Linked DNA regions of Canis lupus familiaris. The protein of the gene in region 1 purifies or fractionates together with the protein of each later gene. This does not show direct contact. Links are inferred from orthologs where the notes say so. Each region holds a gene or a part of one and is shown in the gene's direction. Other genes may lie near its edges.

Region 1 (6,576 bases):
GAACTTTTAATCTTTCAGAGCTGTCTAAAGATGATCTCTCAGTTAATATGATAACTCACTTATATTTGCATATATTGATTTATATTTAGAAGTACAGATTTTATTACAGAAACATATAGGTATAGAAAAATAAATTATATGCCACATGCATGTAAAATTCCTTAAGAGTCCTTGAAATGAAGCATGGAAGTTTAAGTATAAGGATTTTTTTTTTTAAAGATATTTTAGAGTATGGTTTATGTGAGGAATAAAACCAGAGGCCTATTACCTTCTATTTCTGGAACAATAATAGTATGTTTAAATGAGGAAAATCTTTCCCAAGCAGTTTTAGTGGATTATTTTTCCTATAATCCTGTAACTATTTAAATTAATTATAGTTGAACCTTTGCTTCATTTACCTAAAATGCTGTGTGAACCTTAGGCAGTTTTTTTCTTTTCCTTCTTTTTTTTTTTTTTCCTTTGCTTTAAATAGATTAAACTATTGGTAAATACTTGCTGTTTAGACTATATTTGAGAAAAACTTACCAGCTATGTAGAGCATGACTCCTTAGCTATTTTGACAAGCAGTAACTAGGTGTACAATTGGTTATGACACTGGTAGGTTTCTATGTATGTGCATATCCCAACATAACAGCCAGAAACCTTAAGCTTTCTGTTCTTAAGATATTTATGGTTCTACAATCCAAGAAGGGGGACGCCTGGGTGGCTCAGTGGTTTCAGCGTCTGCCTTGGCTCAGGGCGTGATCCTGGAGTCCCGGATCGAGTCCCACATCGGGCTCCCTGCATGGAGCTTGCTTCTCCCTCTGCCTGTTTCTCTGCTTCTCTCTGTGTGTCTCTCATGAATAAATAAACAAAATCTTAAAAAAAAAAAATCCAAGAGGGTCAACATTTTATAAAAATCTTGTCAGAGCATCTTCTCTTTCTATTCTCCTTCTTCAATTCTGTAATTTAACAGTTTTAAACCAAATACATATCTGGGAGTGCCCTGAAAATGGCATCCAGTGCAAGCTATTTGTTTTGTTTGTGACATTGAGAAAAGAAAATTAAGCTTAAGAGTTAAAAAAAAATCTATTTGTGAATATATACTAACCCCTGAGATCTTTCTTGGTCTGTACCAGTTTTCTGCCATTATTTGTTGACGCAGGAAGTGTTTAGTTATAGGTAGGATGAGTGTGTGATAGAAATGTTCTAATACACTCTCCACTCCAGACTAGTTGAGCTATAGATTTCTTTAACCTCTAACTGTCTTAGTCGGAATCTGTTTCCTGTCACCTATTTCCTTTCTTATATTAGATCAGGTCCCCATTCTTATGTTACCTTAATTATTTCCTTATAGCCCCCATCTCCAAGTAATAGCCACATTGGGGTTAGAGCTTCAGCACAGGAATTTTAAAAGGAGGATGCAGACTTTCAGTTCATAGCACTAGCCTTGTTGAACAAGCATCATGTCTGATCCAGACTCTATTTTAGGCAGTGGCAGTAAGGAGATGCCTAAGAGGCAACATTACTTACTCTTGGGCCCCCAACTCTCACTTTCTCTGCACGGAACATGGGAAACACTGCAACCCACCTCAGAGAGAGTGGTCCTGACAATGAAATGAGAGGACATGTGGTGTCTGGCCCACAGTGGATGGATGCTCAGTAAACAGTAGCTACAACTTTTATTTTGTGTTCTCCCTATTATGTATTTTATTCTTAAAACACTTTGTCTTTTCGCAGTCTTTTTCAAGTATCATTTTCTTCTAGTAGTATCTTCTGACTTCCCCCCTTTCTAGTCCCTCTGTTCCCCAATCTTCTCTCCATACCCTCACGTTTCTCATTATCTATTCCCTCTTCACTTCCATCCCTTCTTTGTCTGCTCCAGATTGAAGCATCCTCTTGGCATTTTTCTCACAAATTTTCCAAGGACAGAGACTTGCCTTTTCCAGGGATTGTTGTGTTATGCTTATTTTTAGAAAAAAAAATTTATAAAGGTGAGCAGGAATGAAAGAGGAGAAATGCAGGTTTAACACTAAGTTAGTTTTATATCAGACAACAGGCTTATACCCATTGAATGGGAACTAGTGATGATTGGAGGCCCTATTACCTTTGTCTCCTTGCCCATCTTCCCCTGAAAGAGGTTTTTCAAAGAAACCTCCCTAAATGTAGGATGGGTTAATTATATTTCTTTACTAGATAGCAGGACAATATGCAGAATGATCTTCTGGCACACTGTTGCTGTTAACTTTAGCAGATACCTCTGTAATTTTTGTTTCATATTTTACTTCAAGTATCTTGTCAGGAAACTATGTAATATCCTTTAATTATGTAATCAGTTATTTCTTTTCAAAAATAATACTATGCCAGTGGCAAAAGAGAAAAATGAATTATATCATTTTCTTTCCTTAACAAAACATATTAAAATCATCACAGTGGAAGAATAAATAAATTTCACAGGCAAGTTCTTCTCATTTCTGCATTCTCGCTGTTGTATGTGGACTTTGGAACTGATTTTGTTTTTTCCAAACAAAATTTTATGTCTTTGATAAATCACCTTTTGAAAATTTTCTTTCCTGGAGTTTAGGTAATTGGAGCACTAGAAGACTTTTAAGTTACGTTCTAAAAATCTGAACTCTGTTACAGTCCTAGAAGAATTTCTGGGATTGACGTTCTTTTAATATTTTCCTTTATCCCTACTCTCTTTACAGTCTTCATAGTTGTGAATAAACTTCTGAAATTCTACCTTGATAGTCTGAAGCTTTTACTTTAAATTATGTTTTGTGTATACTGAGGAGTGTTTGATTACTCATGCTTTTTGTGAGGCCTATAAACTAAATTTTGATATATTTCAGAGTTATTCAGGTCAGCAGGAATTATGCTTCAAACCGGAAAATTAAAAGGTAACATATTAAAGCTCTCTTTTCTCTCCTCTACTGTTTTTTTTTTTTTTTCTTCAGGCTCCTGTTCCAAAGAGTGCACTTATTCCAGTAATTCCCATCACTAAATCAACAGGCTCCCGGTTCCGGAATAGTGTGGAAGGATTGAATCAGGAGATTGAAATAATAATTAAAGAGACTGGAGAAAAGGAAGAACAACTTATAGTAAGTAATCTTGTATCTTAAAATTGTCCTTTCATGTTAACTGTTCTAATTATTTAAAAAGTTACAATTTCATTTTCCATATTTACTTAGGTTTCTTCCTTCTCGTTGAGAGAGAATGAAAATTTGTCTCTTTTGGAAAACTTTGACCTTGGCAAGTGAATGAAAAGTTTTCATTTCTTTGCATCTCATAGAGACAACTGATATGACTTAAGTTTAGATCCTTGAACAGAAACTACTTTTTGTTTATCCATATTTAAAAATCATTAGACAGGTGATAACACTTCTCATTTACTATAACTCCATGTAACAAAATTTAAATTGCACATTTGTTGGGGAGGGAGGGATGTGACTTCAAATACTTTCTAAACGTGAATCTACTTGTTCCCTCTTGTTTGTGAAGTACTATTTGGTTGACTTTATGATCATGAAGTGCAGTTCTGCTTACCTATAATGCACATAAGACATAAGAATGATTCATACATAAGACACAGTGAGAAAATTTCCTATTTATATTTAAAAGCATGTCACAGAGTATATTTAAGCTTTCATTCTTCAGTGAAAGAGGAATCGGGGAGTTTGAAATAGTATTTTATTGATGCTTAAGATCCTCTCTGTGAAGATTAAAGGTTGGTTTAGCTTGGAGGAGACACAACTTCCCACACCCTCTTGTCCATATACTGCATGATGGGAGTAACCCCCTGAAATAATAAAGATAAATGAACCAAAGGTGTATGGGGAGCTGGTTTTCCTATTAAGTGAGCCACACAAGATTTCCTCTAAATGTTCTCCTTGATTTCCCCCTATAACCATTGCTACCATTAACGTTTCCCTTATTTAGGAAGGTATCTTTGGAAAAACTTTCTCAGGGAGATGTAGGCAGGGGAGAAGGTAACAGGACCTGTCATCAGGTATCTCTAGTTCATATAATGGATGACATTCTCTTCTAATATGGAACCTAGTGTTATGCCTAGATTCCTCCTTTCTCTTTTACCATGGCAGTACTTGACAATTTTAAACATATTTAGAACATGATAACTAATTCATTGAAATTTATCATTCAGGAAGCATTGAACACCTGTCCTGTGACTAACCCTAGGAATACAGTCTTTGCATTTGCTGCTCTGTGTTCAGTAGGGCAGTCACATTAGACAGGAATGTCACTGATGGTGCAACACAAAGGCTTTTTTCTCGTTAGACTTAATAAGTGGGGCATTTCTGACCTGTGAGTCATCTGGAACAATAGGGGAAGGTTGATATTAGGTGCATTTCTGGTGAATTTCAAAATTGATGATAAATACACATGTTTTTAAAATTTTATAACAGCCACAAGATATTCCAGATGGCCATCGTGCACCTCCCCCGCTGGTACAGAGAAGTAGCAGCACACGCAGCATTGACACGCAGACCCCCGGGGGTGCCGACAGGGGAAGCAATGACAGCAGCCGCTCTCAGTCTGTGTCGCCCACGTCCTTCCTCACCATCTCAAATGAAGGTAGCGAAGAGAGCCCTTGTTCAGCTGATGACCTGCTTGTTGATCCCAGGGATAAAGGTACAATGCAGGAGGGACTTGTTACCAGATAAAGGAGTACCACCTACTGTATCATTCATTCTGTTCATTTTGTAATAGAACAGACACACTTAAGGCCACTAACGTAATTACTTTGACATGCATTCTTAACATAGATTTTTAAAAATTTAAGTGCAGAACAGTTTTACTATAGTGCTCAAGTGATGGTCTAGTTGGGTCGACTTTTGTTTGTAATTTTTCTTTTTCTTCACTTGTTAATGCAAGTTCCTTATTAGTGAGAGACATTCTTTTGGTATAAATGAACATTTGTCTTGAAAAGCACTTTGTTCTCTCTTGCCTTTTATTAATTTTTTTTTAAGATTTTATTTATTTATTCATGAGAGACACACAGAAAGAGAGAGAGAGGCAGAGACACAGGCAGAGGGAGAAGCAGGCTCCATGCAGGAAACTTGATGTGGGACTCCATCCCAGATCTCCAGGATCACGCCCTGGGCTGAAGGTGGCGCTAAACCACTGAGCTACCCAGGCTGCCCCTCTCTTGCTTTTTAAAACAAACATGACCTGTCATCTGTCTATATTGGGGCAATATTTTGTTAGCCTAACCCAAGGTACTATGTGTACTTGAGGGCAATAATATATTTGTAAATTCTGCAGCTGAGCTCAGTAATCATTTATTTCAAACCTCTTACAAGTGCCTTGAATGTCCTAAAAAGTTACAATTGACCATCACCATCAATCACCTAAATTACTGAGACTGTAACAAGTGCAGACAATCTTAAGAGTTCCTGAAGATGTCAGTTAAAGCTATCTATGGCAGTTGTAAATGTTATTATTTGGACCCTTTTTTTTTTTACCAGCTTCTAAATTAAGTAAAATATGGATACTCCAGGCCAGCACTCTCCACCAATTATATCACAATCCCCCGCGGGTTGAGATACAAGTTCCAAGAGTTTTTGATGCTCCCAATGTGCACCCAGGTCTGACACAGAATTAAATCCTTTGGTTGGGTTGTGTGTTTCTTATCAGGAATCTGCATAATTAAGTACTATTTAGACTTATTGTTCGGATTAAAAGGAATAGTAAATGCAGACCATTTAGCACGGCTCCTGGTACTTAGTACTCAATCAAATGTAACACATACACACTTCCTTTAAAAAACATGGTTATTAAAATATGCCATACTTTCTATTTTTCAGTAACGAGTTGAAACTCCATGAATTTTGTGTAATGGTTTATTTGACTTTAAGAGATGTGACTGGTTAGTTTTTTGAAATTTCTAAGAAAATAAGGCCACAGTGCTACTGCCTACAAAAAACTTATGGCTTAGTTGACATAGACACACTGAAAATTTAGAACACTTAGATATCAGGAATTTTAATGTAGTGGAACTGAGAATATGAACACTGAACAAGAAATACCAGAGCGAAGAAGTATATTTTTTTGTTAGGGTTAATTTGAAGAGATTTCAAAAGTTTGAGCTAGACTTTGAAGGAAATTTTGGGGGATGAATAGAGATGGACCTCTTCAGGTATGGAGAAGTTCATAGGCAAAAGGAAGTCTTTGGCGTACAGTGCATAGAAGACTCCTGACGACCTGGAGCAGAGATTGTAACCAGAGAAGCAGAGAAATCAAATTGAGAAATTCTAAAGGGCAGGCCAAGAGTGAATGTTAGGCAGCCAGTGAAAAACCAGCTTAGTTAAGTGTACTAGAAAAAAGGAACTGGCATTGGAGTCTGTTTGCTGGGTATATAACAGAAAAAAGGGAGCAAGATATCAGTGTGAAGGGCCATAGATTAAGTGATACAGCCTGAGCTATAGTAATTGTAAGTGGAAAAAAAAATTTTTGTTTATGCATTTATTTAGCAAACATTAATATTCTCCTCTTTAACAGGTTTTGTGTTAGATCTTGGGAGGTGATGTTGATGAATAAACACTCTTCTTACCCTCAAGAAGTTCATAGTGTGGAGGG
Region 2 (7,338 bases), on another chromosome or scaffold:
GAATATCTCACAGCTAATAAAGTCTGCACATTTCACGTTGGGCTGGGTGTGTTATTTACCTGAGGGTCATCAAGTCCTTGACTGTGCTGTGGTCTTCTTTAAGTCCCTCTTACAGGATTTGTGTGTTGTGGACCTGAAGGTACTCTGCTGGGCCCAGGAGCCCCAGGAGCATGGGGCTTTTAACCGGGCTGGGGTAAAGGGAAACGGAGAGGCTCTGTCTTAGTCACCATCAAGAATCATGACAAGAGCCAGCTTCCATAGTGCTCACCCTGTGCCAGGACCCTGCTGACAGCTCTGCAGATACGAGTTCACTAAGCCTCACCACAATCCTATGGGGTTCATATTGTTAGTTCCATCTTAGAGATGAGGGATCAGGAGAAGAGAGGCTAAGAAAGCATAAGGGGAACTTCTGGGGTGCTAGTACTGTTCTATTTTTTTTTTAAGATTTTATTTATTCATGAGAGACACAGAGAGAGATAGAGACATAAACAGAGGGAGAAGCAGGCTCCTTGCAGGGAGCCCAATGTGGGACTCCATCCCTGAACCAGGGATCACACCCTGAGCTGGAAGCAGACACTCAACTGCTGAGCTACCCAGGCATCCCTGCTAGTACTGTTCTGCTTACCGATCCAGTCTCTGGTTACATAAGTGTGTTTCAGATTGTGAAAATACATGCACTTCTATGTGCAAATTATACTTCAATTAAAAAAAAGGAATCTTGCCTAACATGGGAAAAGAAGGACACACTTTCAACCCAGATGGTCTGGCTTGAAAGCACGTGCAGTTAATCACTCCAGTGAAATAAGCTGGCCAAAAAATACCTGGTCACCGATCCTCAGTCCTTTTTTGGTGTTCTTTGAAAGAATTTTGAAAATGAATCCCTCCTATCACATACACATTTTTAAATTAACACTTGAAGTATTTTATTGATAAGCTTAACCAGTTGCAAGCATGTAATTTCCAGGGTATTGTGAATATTGATACTTTAGAAATTGCTTCATTTAAATTGATCCAATTAGGCCCACATAGCATAGTGCTTTGAGAGCCAACACCATTCTTTTTTTGTTGTTGTTACGTAGGCTCCATGCCCAATGTGGAGCTTGAACTCACAACCCTATGATCAAGAGTCACGTGTCTACCGACTGAGACAGCCAGGGGCCCCTAGCATCATTCATTTAAAAAATATGAGAATAAATTTTTTAAAACATTATTCCTTTTCCTCTTCTCATAATTCCATTCTATTCCTACCACAGTTTATGCTACATGTAATTTATTTTCATGTTAAGGTCTATTATTGATAACTTGATCATAACTGTTTGCAACAAATATATATATATATATCTTAAAATTAAATTTTTGGAGACGCCAGGGTTGCTCAACAGCTGAGCTTCTGCTTTTGCCTTCCACTCAGGGTGTCATCCCTGAGTTCCTGGATCAAGTCCCACATCTGGCTCCCTGCAGGGAGCCTGCTTCTCCCTCTGCCTATGTCTCTGCCTTCTCTCTGTGTCTCTCATGAATAAATAAATAAAATCTTAAAATTTTTTTTTTGTAAACTTAACAAGGCTTTAAGGATTATGCTTATTAGTACAGAGTTGCTCAATAGAAATATATTTCAAATTTTTAAAAATTACTTTTTTAAGTTTTTTGTTTGTTTGTTTAAGTAAACTCTACACCCAATGGGTGGCTTGAACTCAGGACCTGGACATCAAGAGTCAGATGCCCTACCACATGAGCCAGCCAGGAGCTCCAAATATATTAAAAAGTTTTATAGAAATTAAAATTTTATTGGAAATGCATGTTTAGGGTGGGTTATTTTTCCTTTCATTAGCTCGTGTGTGGATGAACATCACTTTTTTATTAGAACGAGACAAGGTTTAGCAACACTTTTATATCCATTTTCTTTCCTTTTTTAAAAAAAACTTACGCAGTGGGGCACCTGGGTGGCTTCTTGGTTGAGCTTGTCTACCTTTGGCTCAGATCAAGATCCCGGGGTTCAGGGATCAAGTCCCACATCAAGCTCCCCGCAGGGAGCCTGCCCCTCCCTCCCTCTGCCTGTGCGTGTCTCTCATGAATAAATAAATAAAATCTTTAAAATAACACACACACACACAAACTTAAGCAGAGAAAACGTGCTCAAACAAGAAAGTAGATGGACCACTACAGGGTTTGTTATATATAGCAGCCACTCAATTCTTTGAGTTGTTCAACAGTCCACTATATTTAAATCCATATTTAATGATATCATCTAGTCCTACGATTCTCCTTTCATTGTGTTGAAAGCAAAGCATTGGAAACCATTTAAACTATAAAGAGATGTTACCTAGATCGGGCCCTTCTCCATTACATTTTTTTTTTTAAGATTTATTTATTTATTCATGAGAGACACAGAGAGAGAGGCAGAGACATAGGCAGAGGGAGAAGCAGGCCCCATGCAGGGAACCCGATGGAAGACTCGATCCCAGATCCCAGGATCACGCCCTGAGCCGAAGGCAGATGCCCAACCGCCGCCGAGCCACCCAGGCGTCCCGCCCTTCTCCATTTCAAACTGAGGACACAGATCTGTGCAAGGGCTTGATCAGCTTTTTCCTTGGGCTCCGCTGCGGGGAAAGGCATGGAATGAAGGGGAACCGACAAAAACTTAGGGCAAGTTGGGTCGCTGACTTAACTTTCACCAACGCTGAAATTCGGAGGATTTCTAGAATGGCCAGGAAAGCATAGGAAGGCCTGACTACACATGCAGGTCGGTCTGCAAAGGCGTGTCCGCCGCCGCCTGCCCTTTGAGGATCCTGGGAGAGCAGCTCCCCCCGTCTACGGGAGGAGATTAGGGTGATTCCCGTTGGCTCTGGCCAGGCCGTCAGGCCGCAGGCCCCCGGGTAAGGGAGACTGTAAATTTCTACTGGACAGCGTGGAGAAGCCGCTCGGAATGTCAGCTGCAGCGAGAAAGTCAGAGCAGGTCACGCAGGAGGTTTCACTCTCAGAGACTTGGCCTAGAATTTGCAGGCCTGCCCCCGCCGCAGCTAGCTCGCCCCCAGGCCACCCACGCCCCCATTCACCCGCACTGCGCCGTTATCTCTCTGACTGACATCCCTGTCAGCCAATCACCTTTGGGGCTGAGAAAGCGCCGGCCCCCCCGAAATAGGGCGGGGCAAGTCATTGGAATGACAGACATTTACGCCAATAGGAAAGAGTTTCAGAAGCTACGGCTGCCCTAGCCAATGAGGAGAAGGAACCTTTTGAAAAAACAAGTCAGGCAGCCAACGGCCGGCGCCGCCACGGGGGTCGCGTGGCTTCCGTTTCAGGAGGGCGGGGCGGGGCTTCAAACGGAAGGTGGCTGTTGTCCGAGCCGAAGCGGGTTGGAAACTAGGGGTCGGGCCCGGCGGTCGTTGTCTGTCGCCGCGGCCCCGCTTCCGGGCTAGGCCGTCCCTGCCCGCCCCCTCCCCGCCTCCCTGCGGACCCCTCAGTCTCAGGCCCGGCTCCCCGCCTGACTCGCGCCCGGCCCGCAGCAGCTCGCTGTCGTCCCGGCCCGCACTGCGGCCCCGCCGCCGCCACCATGTCCCTGCACGGCAAACGGAAGGAGATCTACAAGTATGAAGCGCCTTGGACCGTCTACGCCATGAACTGGAGCGTGCGGCCCGACAAGCGCTTTCGTCTGGCGCTGGGCAGCTTCGTGGAGGAGTACAACAACAAGGTGGGCCGGGCAGGGGCTCGGAACCCAGCTGGCGGGGAGCGGGCCCCGGGAGCACCCTTTCCGGGCCGGAGCCCAGACCCCGGGACCCTGCTGCGGACTTGCCTTAGCGCTCCCGGAGTGGTTCGTCAGAGTCTGGCCCTGTGCAGAAGCTTTCGCACTCATTGTTTCGTTTAATCCTGACAGCATTCCTATGTAGTCAGGAGTGTAATTACCCCCCCCCCCCGCGTTTTACTTATGGGGAAACTGAGGCACCGTGTTGTGACTTGCCCGAGTCAGACAGTTATTTCGCGGGGAAATGGCACTCAAACTCGACTTTATCCCCCCAAGGGCTACGTCATTTATCACTCCAGTTCTCTCTCTTCCCGCCGCTTTGCTTCAACTTGGGGGGCGGACAGGGGAAGAGAGAGGGATGGCTGTGAAGAAAGGTGCTGGCGCCTCAGTCGGTGGTCATACACTCTTGGCCACGCTAGATTTCTGTTAGGGCTGTTCAGTGTGCAGGCTTCCCCGCCTCCTACTCCCATCCTCAGGTGCTATTCATGGATTCCCCCTCCCCGGCTCTTCTGCTGGGAGTGTTAACTGCTGTTGCTGCCTCGTATCTGTCCTCTTAAAAGCGATCTCTTTTTGGAAGTTTTGTTCTGTGACCGTGATCCTGCCACGTTTTCAGATAATTCTATTTCAGAATAGAGAAGGAGGACACGTTCCTTACCTTTTCTTGGCTTCTTTCATGCTGATGCAAAAGTGTAACTTGAGTAGTAAGACTTTCTGGACATTGACAATTTGAGGATCTTTCATAGATGCACAGACAATAGGAAGAATCTTTTTAGCGGACATTGCAGCATCAATATATTTTTGAAAGTTGTTGAATATGTCCGTAGGAAGAATTTTATTTCCTTTATCCCTTAATCTTTCTACTTGCTGTATTAAACACTGTGAGAGTGAGAACAGAGCAACTGAGAGCCTTGGCTAGTGGTGTTTAAAGCCTTCTTCAACTCCTGCTTGACACCATGAACATCATGGCTCAAGAATAAAACTGTGTGTACAGTGATAGGCATGGTGCAGGGGAAAAAGCCAAGTGGAATTTGGTTCTGTCTAGTCCACTAAATAGCTGTGGGGTGTTGCACAGGTTAATCTTATTATTTCTGACCTACAGTTTGTTGTAGGAAGAGTTCTTTTTTACACATAAAGGTCTTATCAAAAAACATTTGTGCATTGTAAGTTTGTTTACAGTTTTCCAGAAGCATTTCTCTAGAGTCTAGGTCTCAACTTTGCATGCATGAACTGGGGGTGCGAGAGGGAGAGGGACAAGCAAACTCTCCCCGTTGAGCAGGGAGCCCATTGTAGGACTTTATCCCAGCACTCTGAGATCATTACCTGAGCCGAAGGCAGATGTTGAACTGTTTGAGCCACCCAGGTGTCCCTCTAGAATCCCCTTTGAGAAACTGATGAAAACGAAGGACTCTCATTGCCCCGATATAATATACACAATTTACACACAAATCCCAGGGACTACACACTGATACTGAAGTCTCCCTATTTCTACAGAAAGCAGAGAGTCCTGAGCAAGACATAGTTTTATTTTCTGTATTGGCTCCCACTTCCTTATGCCCCATAGTGGATAGCAGAATGGAATGGAATTCAAGGTCCTGATGTGGAAACTATGTTAGTAAAATTGAGACCACTAGAACTATTATTTAAGAATATGTGTTTAAAAAAAAAACAGTAAAATATATCTTTCATAGGGCTCGAGTTTTTTTTACTCAAATTGGTGGCCCCTTTTTTCTCATAAGGTCTTTCAGAGTCAATTTGGGTAAGATGAAGCTGCCTCATTTCTAAGAAAGGAGGAGCTAAGCCACAGTTAGGCTCCTGGTACAATCAGTGAAGTAACTGGGGTTAACCTCACTTATAGGAACTCTACCCCAAAGTTTGTCCTTTCATTTAGCAACCTAGTGGAACTCCTTTGTGCCAGGCACACAGGAACTATGGGTCTCAGTAGTGAAATGTAAACTGATAATCCCAGTAATCATGAGATAAGCAGTTATTTCTATCTTAACTCATGGGCATGATGTAGGCAAGCCAGTACCTTAAAGCTTTTTTTGTGCCCCAACTTCTCTAAGTCAGGGTTCTTAACGTGTGTATGTATATATGCGGACGTATGCATGCTATGGACACCTTGGGAATCTGAAGCCAGTAGACCTCTTTTCATAATTCCATTTTCAAATGCATAAAATACATAGGATTACGAAGGAAATTGATTATATTGAACTACAGTTATCAAAAACATTTTTTAAAAAGTGGAGTTATAGTAACAGGTACTTTTTTTTTAGGGAGTGGGGGAGGTCCAGAGAGAGAGAGAATATCTCAAGCAGACTCCCTGCTGAGTGCAGAGCCCCTGGATGGGGCTTGAGCATGATCCTGAGATCATGACCTGAGCCAAAACCAAGAGTTGAACACCCAACTGACTGAACCACACAGGTGCCCCTGTACTCTTTAATTAATTCATTAGATTACACCATCCAGTGTAAATATGACTATAATTTTAAAGTAGTGTGAGGATAAATAGCATTTCAAGATGGTTAATTATAGTAATGTGATATGATAAAAATATGATTTCTGTTAGTGACAAAGTCAGATATTGACTTGGTTGTCAGTAGTTGTCTCCCTTCATAATGGAAGGAAATGCTAAATTTCAGCCAGAGGTTAGTGAAAATACAAAATGTGATTTTCCAGTTCAAGTTCATGGACCTCAAGTTAAACCCTGATGTAAAGGATCTGTGTCTAGGGGCTGGTGAGTAGTAAATACCACTCTAACACAATGCCTCTTAGGCTCAGTTTTGGACAAAACTTTTACCAAGAAGGTGCTGGACTTCACAATTTAGAGAAATTTAAAAGTTATTGGTTGGAATTTTCAGATCTTTGTTACCTGCTTGCTGTCGATAGTGATTACCAGCAGAGGGCAAAATAAATGGACACAGCTTTTAACATTGATGAAAAAGAAATGATGAAAAAAAAAGATGATCCAGAAATGGTCATCTTTTTTATTGTGGAGACACTGACATCAGAATACATGATTATAATTTCTAAAAGGTTTGTAGTAATGTAATCATATTTTTCCTATAGTAAAATTATTTGTATTTGTAGTTTAGTAGAAATAAATTTTATTAGTATTTCAACAACTTGACTTTCAAGTGTTCCATCATCTGAATAAATTTGGGAATTGTTTTAGAGTAAAGAGCCAGATTCTATCATCTACATTTGGAATAAGAAGTCTCATTATCATATTTGTGTTTCATCTTTTTGTGGTCTCTACGGGGGGATATAGCAGCATTGGTGTTGGAGTGATGGTTTTCTAAATTTTAGTGTGTTTGAGATTCCTCTGAGGGATTTGCACATTCCTGGGCTCCACTTCTGAAGTTAACAGACGCTCAACTGAATCAGAAATAGGTGGTCCAGATGGCACTCTAAGAACATTACCCTAGGATTACTTGGGCATCTGCTGACCAGAGGCAGGAATTCTATCTTTCTGTATCTAACATGCACCTGAACTTTGATTCTGCTCTTCTATCCCATGCAAAAAGCTCTATTACCAGATAGTCCCTTTGAGGTATTTGGTGTTGAGGTTTCAGTCCTACCTCTTCCCAGTTTTGTGTGGC
Region 3 (6,576 bases), on another chromosome or scaffold:
TGGAGCTGTTTTTAATATTAAACCTGTGAACCTCAGTGATTATTAAGAGCAGATATTGTACATTCTTATGTAACCTTTAAAGATTCTTTTTATTTGTTGAGTGTTGAGTTGTACTGTAGACTCCTGTAGAGTCATTTAGTATTTGTATTGTTCTTTATCCTAACTTTGGATCATATGTATCAAGAATGATGTAAAAACAATCATGCACTGCTGTACTACTCAGGGGTAAAGGCAGTCCAGGACAACACAGTGTATTCCCCCTTTCTCAGGGACCAGACATCGAATACCACCATAGTTAGTTCCAGATAGATCTGTAGAGAAACTTTTGTTTTTATGAAACTAAAAGACCAAAATGAAGGTAACCTTGACAGATGGTGGTTTTATGTCATTCCAGTTGAGTTACAAGGGTTCAGTTTGGTATATATAAGATTTTTACAGGGAAGGGCAGCACTCTACTTTATTGAATGACCTCATCTGATGTGCAGTCAGTGTTAGTACTAAAAGCACAATCTTTGAAACAATTTAGTGAGTATTAAGCCTTTTTAGAGGGTCAACAGTGATCGCATGTAATGGCTTCTTACACTCTTTTTTCATTCATAAGTCTTATAATTTATTCTTGTGATTGAGCTTCATTTTCAAGTTTCCCCAGACCTTCTGTTTTGCACAAGATATCCCATATACCAGCTTGATGAACATAATCAGATGCCTTGATTATGAACTCTAATATCTTGTAAAGCATGCTTTTCAAATATTTGCTGTATTTGCCTAAAAGAAAAAAAGATCTATGTCTTCCTTTGACAATTGTTGCAGGAAATTACTAGTGAGATGTAAGGCTCAGCACAGCGGAATGTGGATATGTATCAGAGCCGGAAAGCCTTCCCAGAGAGAGCTGCCAAGTACGGCACTGTCACAACCTGGAGATCCCCGTGGGTGGAGCTTAGATGAAGTTTTGAGGTTGGGCTCTCAGGAAGTAAAAAATGCGTTCTTGTAGAAGTGAGCATAAAGTTACTGAAGTATTCTCAGTTCTGTTTGTCACTTTGCTACTTGTGTTTCCAGATCTGACTTCATTTTTTTTTTTAAACAAAACGTTTTGGTGGTACTTCTAACATTATATTGCTTATTGGCAGATACCACACCTGTTTAATTCAGCAGACAAACAATTTAGATATTCCTGATTATAGATTGTGCTATTATTGCAGAATGCCGATCTCCAAATTTTAACTTGATTTTCACTCTCCATTTGACATTGAAATGTTGTAGATTGTTTGAGAGTTCGTGCATACATTAGTCTCATTTTATTGGTGTGTATAATTTAAAATGAAACTTTTTTTTCTCTTTCAGTGCATTTGAAACGCCACTTTATGTTTCGAAACCATCTCTGTTTAGTTTTTGAAATGCTGTCCTACAACCTCTATGACTTGTTGAGGAACACCAATTTTCGAGGTGTCTCTTTGAACCTAACACGAAAGTTTGCACAGCAGATGTGCACTGCACTGCTTTTCCTCGCGACTCCAGAACTTAGTATCATTCACTGTGACTTAAAACCTGAGAATATCCTTCTTTGTAACCCCAAACGCAGTGCAATCAAGATCGTTGACTTTGGCAGTTCTTGTCAGTTGGGGCAGAGGGTAAGTATATTTTAGGACTTGGGAATTAAGACAATTAAATAAAATAGTGTTGTTAGATATTGAAGTGTTATTATTTATATCTAATTTGGAAATAATTTCAGGATGGTTCTATTTAAAATGTGCCGCTTGAATCACATTGTGTTAAGCCTATTGTGAGGGAAATCTCTCTTAAAATGCAAATATAAGATTCTGAATTAGAAGGTATTAGTTTTTTAAAAGTGGATTTGAAAAAAAAAGTCATGTATGCCTAAAAGGGAGAGAGAATAGGAGATGAGTGAATTAAATATTAGGTGATTTGTAGCTATATTCTGTAAGTAACGGGTTTAGTATGAATTTGGGGATTTCCCAGTACTAGAACACTGAATCTGTGCTATGAAATACTTCTTGAAAGGTAGATCAAAATAAATGTTTTCTTTAAAAACTGATGTGTTACAGTATAGGTTATTTTGCATTACACATGGTGATATAGTACAGAAATTACACAGTTGGTTAGACATACTTGTTTTGATAAATAAATGTAAGTCTCTTTTTCCCTATATAAATTTTGACACGTGTCCTAACTGGTTTTCCTCAGACTGCTAAAAACAGACCTATCTGTAGCAATAAATAGATTCAGGTTTAGCTAAGAAACCAGATTTTTCCTGCTCTTCTTTCTAGTGTTACAAAAGCTACTCTTAACAGTGTTGCACATATAAAACAGAAGTGATAGGTTACTCTTTTCTTGAAAGGAATTAAAATCATTTAATAATATTTTGTTCGTTTTTGAACCCTGTTCCTGTTTACTTGAAAGTGCTGAAACTGCATTTCTTGGGGGAAAAACATGAAAAACCACAACTAACATTCAGATACTATTATGTATTGGCTTTCTAGTTTTCTTTTTTCCAAATTAGTGAGAGTCTTGTCCTGTGCAGTTTTTTCCCCATGTTTTAAATATGGCTGGTTATTTTAATCATGAAGATTTATAGTCAGCTCACAGGGTTATCTGGCTTTTTTTTTTCTGCAACTTACTCATGGTAGCAGTGTTCTGTAAATCACTGAGATAAATTGAAGGATTAGAAAGCAAAGTTTGCAGTTTCAGATGCCCCTGAAAATCAGAAGATGTGCATAGTTGTTCATGTGGGTAAAGTATATCGTGAGTGGAAAACACATGCCCATCTTGAGAGTCCTTTGAATGGATTTGGATTTGGAAAAATTTCCCCCCCTTTTAAATAAAATCATATGTTCTGTACTAATACCAAATACTATTATGTCTCACCAGCCAAACTAAGACAATTAACCCTTTAGCTCAGTGAGGTTTAAACTATGTGGGTTTATCAGATTAGAATGAGAGGTCCTTTCTAAAATACACATGTGGTGGCCTTACCCTAGATCTACAGTCTCAGTCTCAGAAGGTGGCAGGGCTGGTGTATTTCAGGGGATTTAGGTGCACAGCGTTGGAGATAACCAGACGGAATAGGTGAGAAACAGACTTCTTGCAGAAGCTGTGCAATAAGACGATCTCAGTAGTAGGGAGTCTTTGGGGCTTTACCGATGCTGTTGGCCTATAGAAACTTGGAAATGTAGTAACTTCCTCCTGGCCCTTTTGAATTTCAGTTTCTTCACTCTGATACAGCATTAAGGTTGAGGTGACCAGCTTATGGGGGCATCAGATTACTCTTGGAGATTTGGCTGGAGTTTTAGATGGGAGCCACAAAAGTATTCATGAGAAAGCAGCACCATGCTGATTGATGGCTGCCTAGTTTGAGTGTTAAGTGAGGATGTTTAATTAGGATTTTGTTTGTTTCTTTCTCTTTTTAAATAAAACTTTCTTTGCTTTCATGATATTTCTAGATACAAATTTACAGGGGCTAAGGGAAGATGAATTGGTCTTTCAAGATATTCTCGATTACTTCATTGAAAATTATCCATTTCAAGATTTTCTTTTTCTAAGAGGCCTTAGATTGAGGTGGAAGGGGACAGTATAGGGAAGAAGTGATTGGTCAGAAACGACTCCCAGTTGTTTTTCCAATTTATCTGTGTGGTTAGTACATCTGAATTTTCATTTACGTTGTACTGAGTCTATTTGACTTAATGCTAAAAAACATTCTTTAGGTTAATTTAGATACAATTGAGGCCTTAAATTTATGGTTAACCAAATGCCAGCCGGAGCAGGAAAGAAGAATTAATAGGGAAACAAACGGTTTTCAATAATAATCTTTTTTCTGATGAGGCATAATTATTTGTTTTAAAGGTGTGTATTTTGATTACCAGTTAGGATTGGAATAAATGGAAGGACTTGAATTGTGTATGTTTTGCATTTCACAGTCAAGAGTAACTGCTCTCTTGAAGTGTTTAGTTATTTAAACATTATTTGTAGTAGCAAGTTGAAAGCTGTCAACAGAACCTAAATTCAGGGGATAGGTGGTTACTTTTTCTGGTAATATTAGATAGATGTACTTCAGCGTTGAGCATAATTAAACAAAACTTATGCTGGAATTAACATGATACTGACATGTATTTCAGATATACCAGTACATTCAGAGTCGCTTTTACCGGTCTCCAGAGGTGCTGCTGGGAATGCCTTACGACCTTGCTATCGATATGTGGTCCCTTGGGTGTATTTTGGTTGAAATGCACACTGGAGAACCTCTGTTCAGTGGAGCCAATGAGGTATATAATGGATTGCTTTCAAAACTCTTTTTTCACAGTTTGTTTTTGATTGTAATCTGTGACAGTGTAATCTGAAAATTGTTTTTTAGAAAAAGATGCCTACTTACCAATTTAAATATTCAAATGTTGGGTCAGTCTTTAATTTGCATTTATCCATTTTTAAATTTTTTCAATTATCCTAATGGGGAATTTAGGATTTTGAGATGGGGGTGAGATTTTTTAATTTGCTGGTAAGAACAGTAAGTTAGTTTAGAAAATGTTAAGCCTTTTGATTTATATTTTACAGATTTTCAGTATAACAAAAATAATGATAAAAGGCCTGAGGGACACTCTGAAAACAATGTAAACATCACTGTGTAAATTTTGAGAATATGATTTGGAATAAAGAAGTGATGACCAGTAGCCTTAAATTGGGTATTTGATCTGAATAATTGAGGGTGAATTAAGATGATAGAATTTTAGAGCTACACACTATGTGTAATTATTCTAATTCATGGGTTTTCAGTCTATGTTCTTAGAAGATGTTTGGGGATCAGAGCCAGTGCCTAGGAGGGCATGGGAGAGTCATACTCTCTGGCAGTCAGAGGAATTGGCCTTTCATTGGTTTAAAACCTTGTGAAGTTTTCATTTTTTAAAGAAAAGTTACGCATTACAGATCTTGATCAGTCCATGCATTTATAAATAAGAGAGAATGGCCAACGAAATTTAATGACTTACTTATACTGGGTTATATAGCTGTTAGTATCGTATCAGAAACCTGTCCCTTCCATCTTGCTAATTCACTCGAACTATAGGTTGTGAGCCACTCATGGGCAGTAACTGGCATAGTGTGTGTTTGATAATGTTTCGTTATAAAATACAATTATATTCTCTTAAATCACCTGAAACTTCAGTGGCTTCCATTTTATTCATTGTAAAATCCAAGTCCTTTGAGTGGCTCGAAAATCCCCCCACTCCCTCTACCTCCTGCCTCCTCTGTGCAGTGTTGCCTCCCTTACTTTCTCTGCCAGCACACAGCCTTACTCTGTGGTCCCTTGGAAACAGTAGCCACAGGCCCAGACTAACTGAGGCCTTTGCATTAGTTCTTCCCTGTGCCTTAGAGGCCCTTCCCCAGGGGGCATGTGGCTCTTCCCTCCTGGCCACAGATCTTCAGCTCCTCCGTCTTCTCCGTGATCCTCTAGTACCAGTGGATGACAGTACCCTGTCACTCTCCATCCCTTTTCCTTCCTCCATAGGTCTTAGTTGCCATGGACAAAATATATTTAACTGTGTATTTGTCTATTATTGATCTCTTCCCTCTATGATACCAACTTTTTGGCAGTGATTTTTATCTGTTTTATTTATTGCTCTGTGTATGGTTTCTAGCATGTAGTAGACACTTGTATTTGAGCGAATGAATCTGTGCTTAAAAATATACTTTATTCGGTCCACACTTTATTAAGCCTCTGGGATTTTTTTTTTTTTTTTGATGGTTATTTGATTTTATGTGTTTAATTGTCTGCCCTGTCCTGTATGGCATGAGGGGACTGCAGGGCGACAGGGAGTTTCTCTTTTGTTCATGATTGTATGCTCAGTGCCTGGAGGTGTGCCTGACACTCGGGAGGTACTCTGTTTGTTTATAATTCAGGAATGAATGAATGGATGGATGGATGAACAGAATTAGGATGTACTACAGTGGAAGTTACAGGCTTTTTAATTTTTATTTTCAATACAGGTAGATCAGATGAATAAAATAGTGGAAGTTCTGAGTATCCCACCTGCTCATATTCTTGACCAAGCACCAAAAGCAAGAAAGTTCTTTGAGAAGTTGCCAGATGGCACTTGGAACTTAAAGAAGACCAAAGATGGAAAACGGGTAAAATAGGGAAACTTTGTTTTTTGAGTCTTTGTTACTTATTTTACGAGAGCAGTCTTTCTTTCTGTAGCTCATCTTGCATCACTTGAAATCCGTGTTTCAGTTAACAGTTTGATTAATAACGTTGGTGTATGCTTCTTTAGATGGTGGGTGTAGTTTGACCTGATGTGTCTGTTTGGACCAGTGTTTGTTTCATGGTCAGAGTTAAGGCTTCATTTTGAAAACTCTGTGTCTGCTTTGTGAGACAGCCAATCAAACCACCATGCCTCATTGCGGCAGTAGAATCCGTCAGTTTGACCTTTTTTCCTCACAGTGTGGGTCTGTGATGAAGTCCCAGTTAACAGTACCGCAGCTGTGAGCAACAGAGGTCATAATTGCAGTAAATCGCCTTTTTTTTTTTTTTTTTTTCAGTTGGGGGGGAAGGGATTTTTGACTTAGGCAATT

Evidence for each region.
Region 2: the proteins of FAM117B (region 1) and DCAF7 purify together in Homo sapiens (affinity purification with mass spectrometry; 3 studies listed by BioGRID and IntAct, with this or other methods). This does not show direct contact. The link is inferred for Canis lupus familiaris from reciprocal best matches to the Homo sapiens genes FAM117B and DCAF7.
Region 3: the proteins of FAM117B (region 1) and DYRK1A purify together in Homo sapiens (affinity purification with mass spectrometry; 8 studies listed by BioGRID and IntAct, counting the BioPlex papers as one, with this or other methods). This does not show direct contact. The link is inferred for Canis lupus familiaris from reciprocal best matches to the Homo sapiens genes FAM117B and DYRK1A.

What each region holds. Positions count from the first base shown.
Region 1 is NC_049258.1:11,506,317-11,512,892, forward strand, and holds part of FAM117B (protein FAM117B), read left to right. Parts: intron 1-2,936; coding exon 2,937-3,080; intron 3,081-4,403; coding exon 4,404-4,629; intron 4,630-6,576.
Region 2 is NC_049230.1:15,360,096-15,367,433, reverse strand, and holds the start of DCAF7 (DDB1- and CUL4-associated factor 7), read left to right. Parts: upstream 1-3,420; 5' UTR 3,421-3,550; coding exon 3,551-3,688; intron 3,689-7,338. UniProt on the Homo sapiens protein: Involved in craniofacial development. Acts upstream of the EDN1 pathway and is required for formation of the upper jaw equivalent, the palatoquadrate. The activity required for EDN1 pathway function differs between the first and second arches.
Region 3 is NC_049252.1:32,307,167-32,313,742, forward strand, and holds part of DYRK1A (dual specificity tyrosine-phosphorylation-regulated kinase 1A), read left to right. Parts: intron 1-1,341; coding exon 1,342-1,628; intron 1,629-4,130; coding exon 4,131-4,277; intron 4,278-5,991; coding exon 5,992-6,132; intron 6,133-6,576. UniProt on the Homo sapiens protein: Dual-specificity kinase which possesses both serine/threonine and tyrosine kinase activities. Exhibits a substrate preference for proline at position P+1 and arginine at position P-3.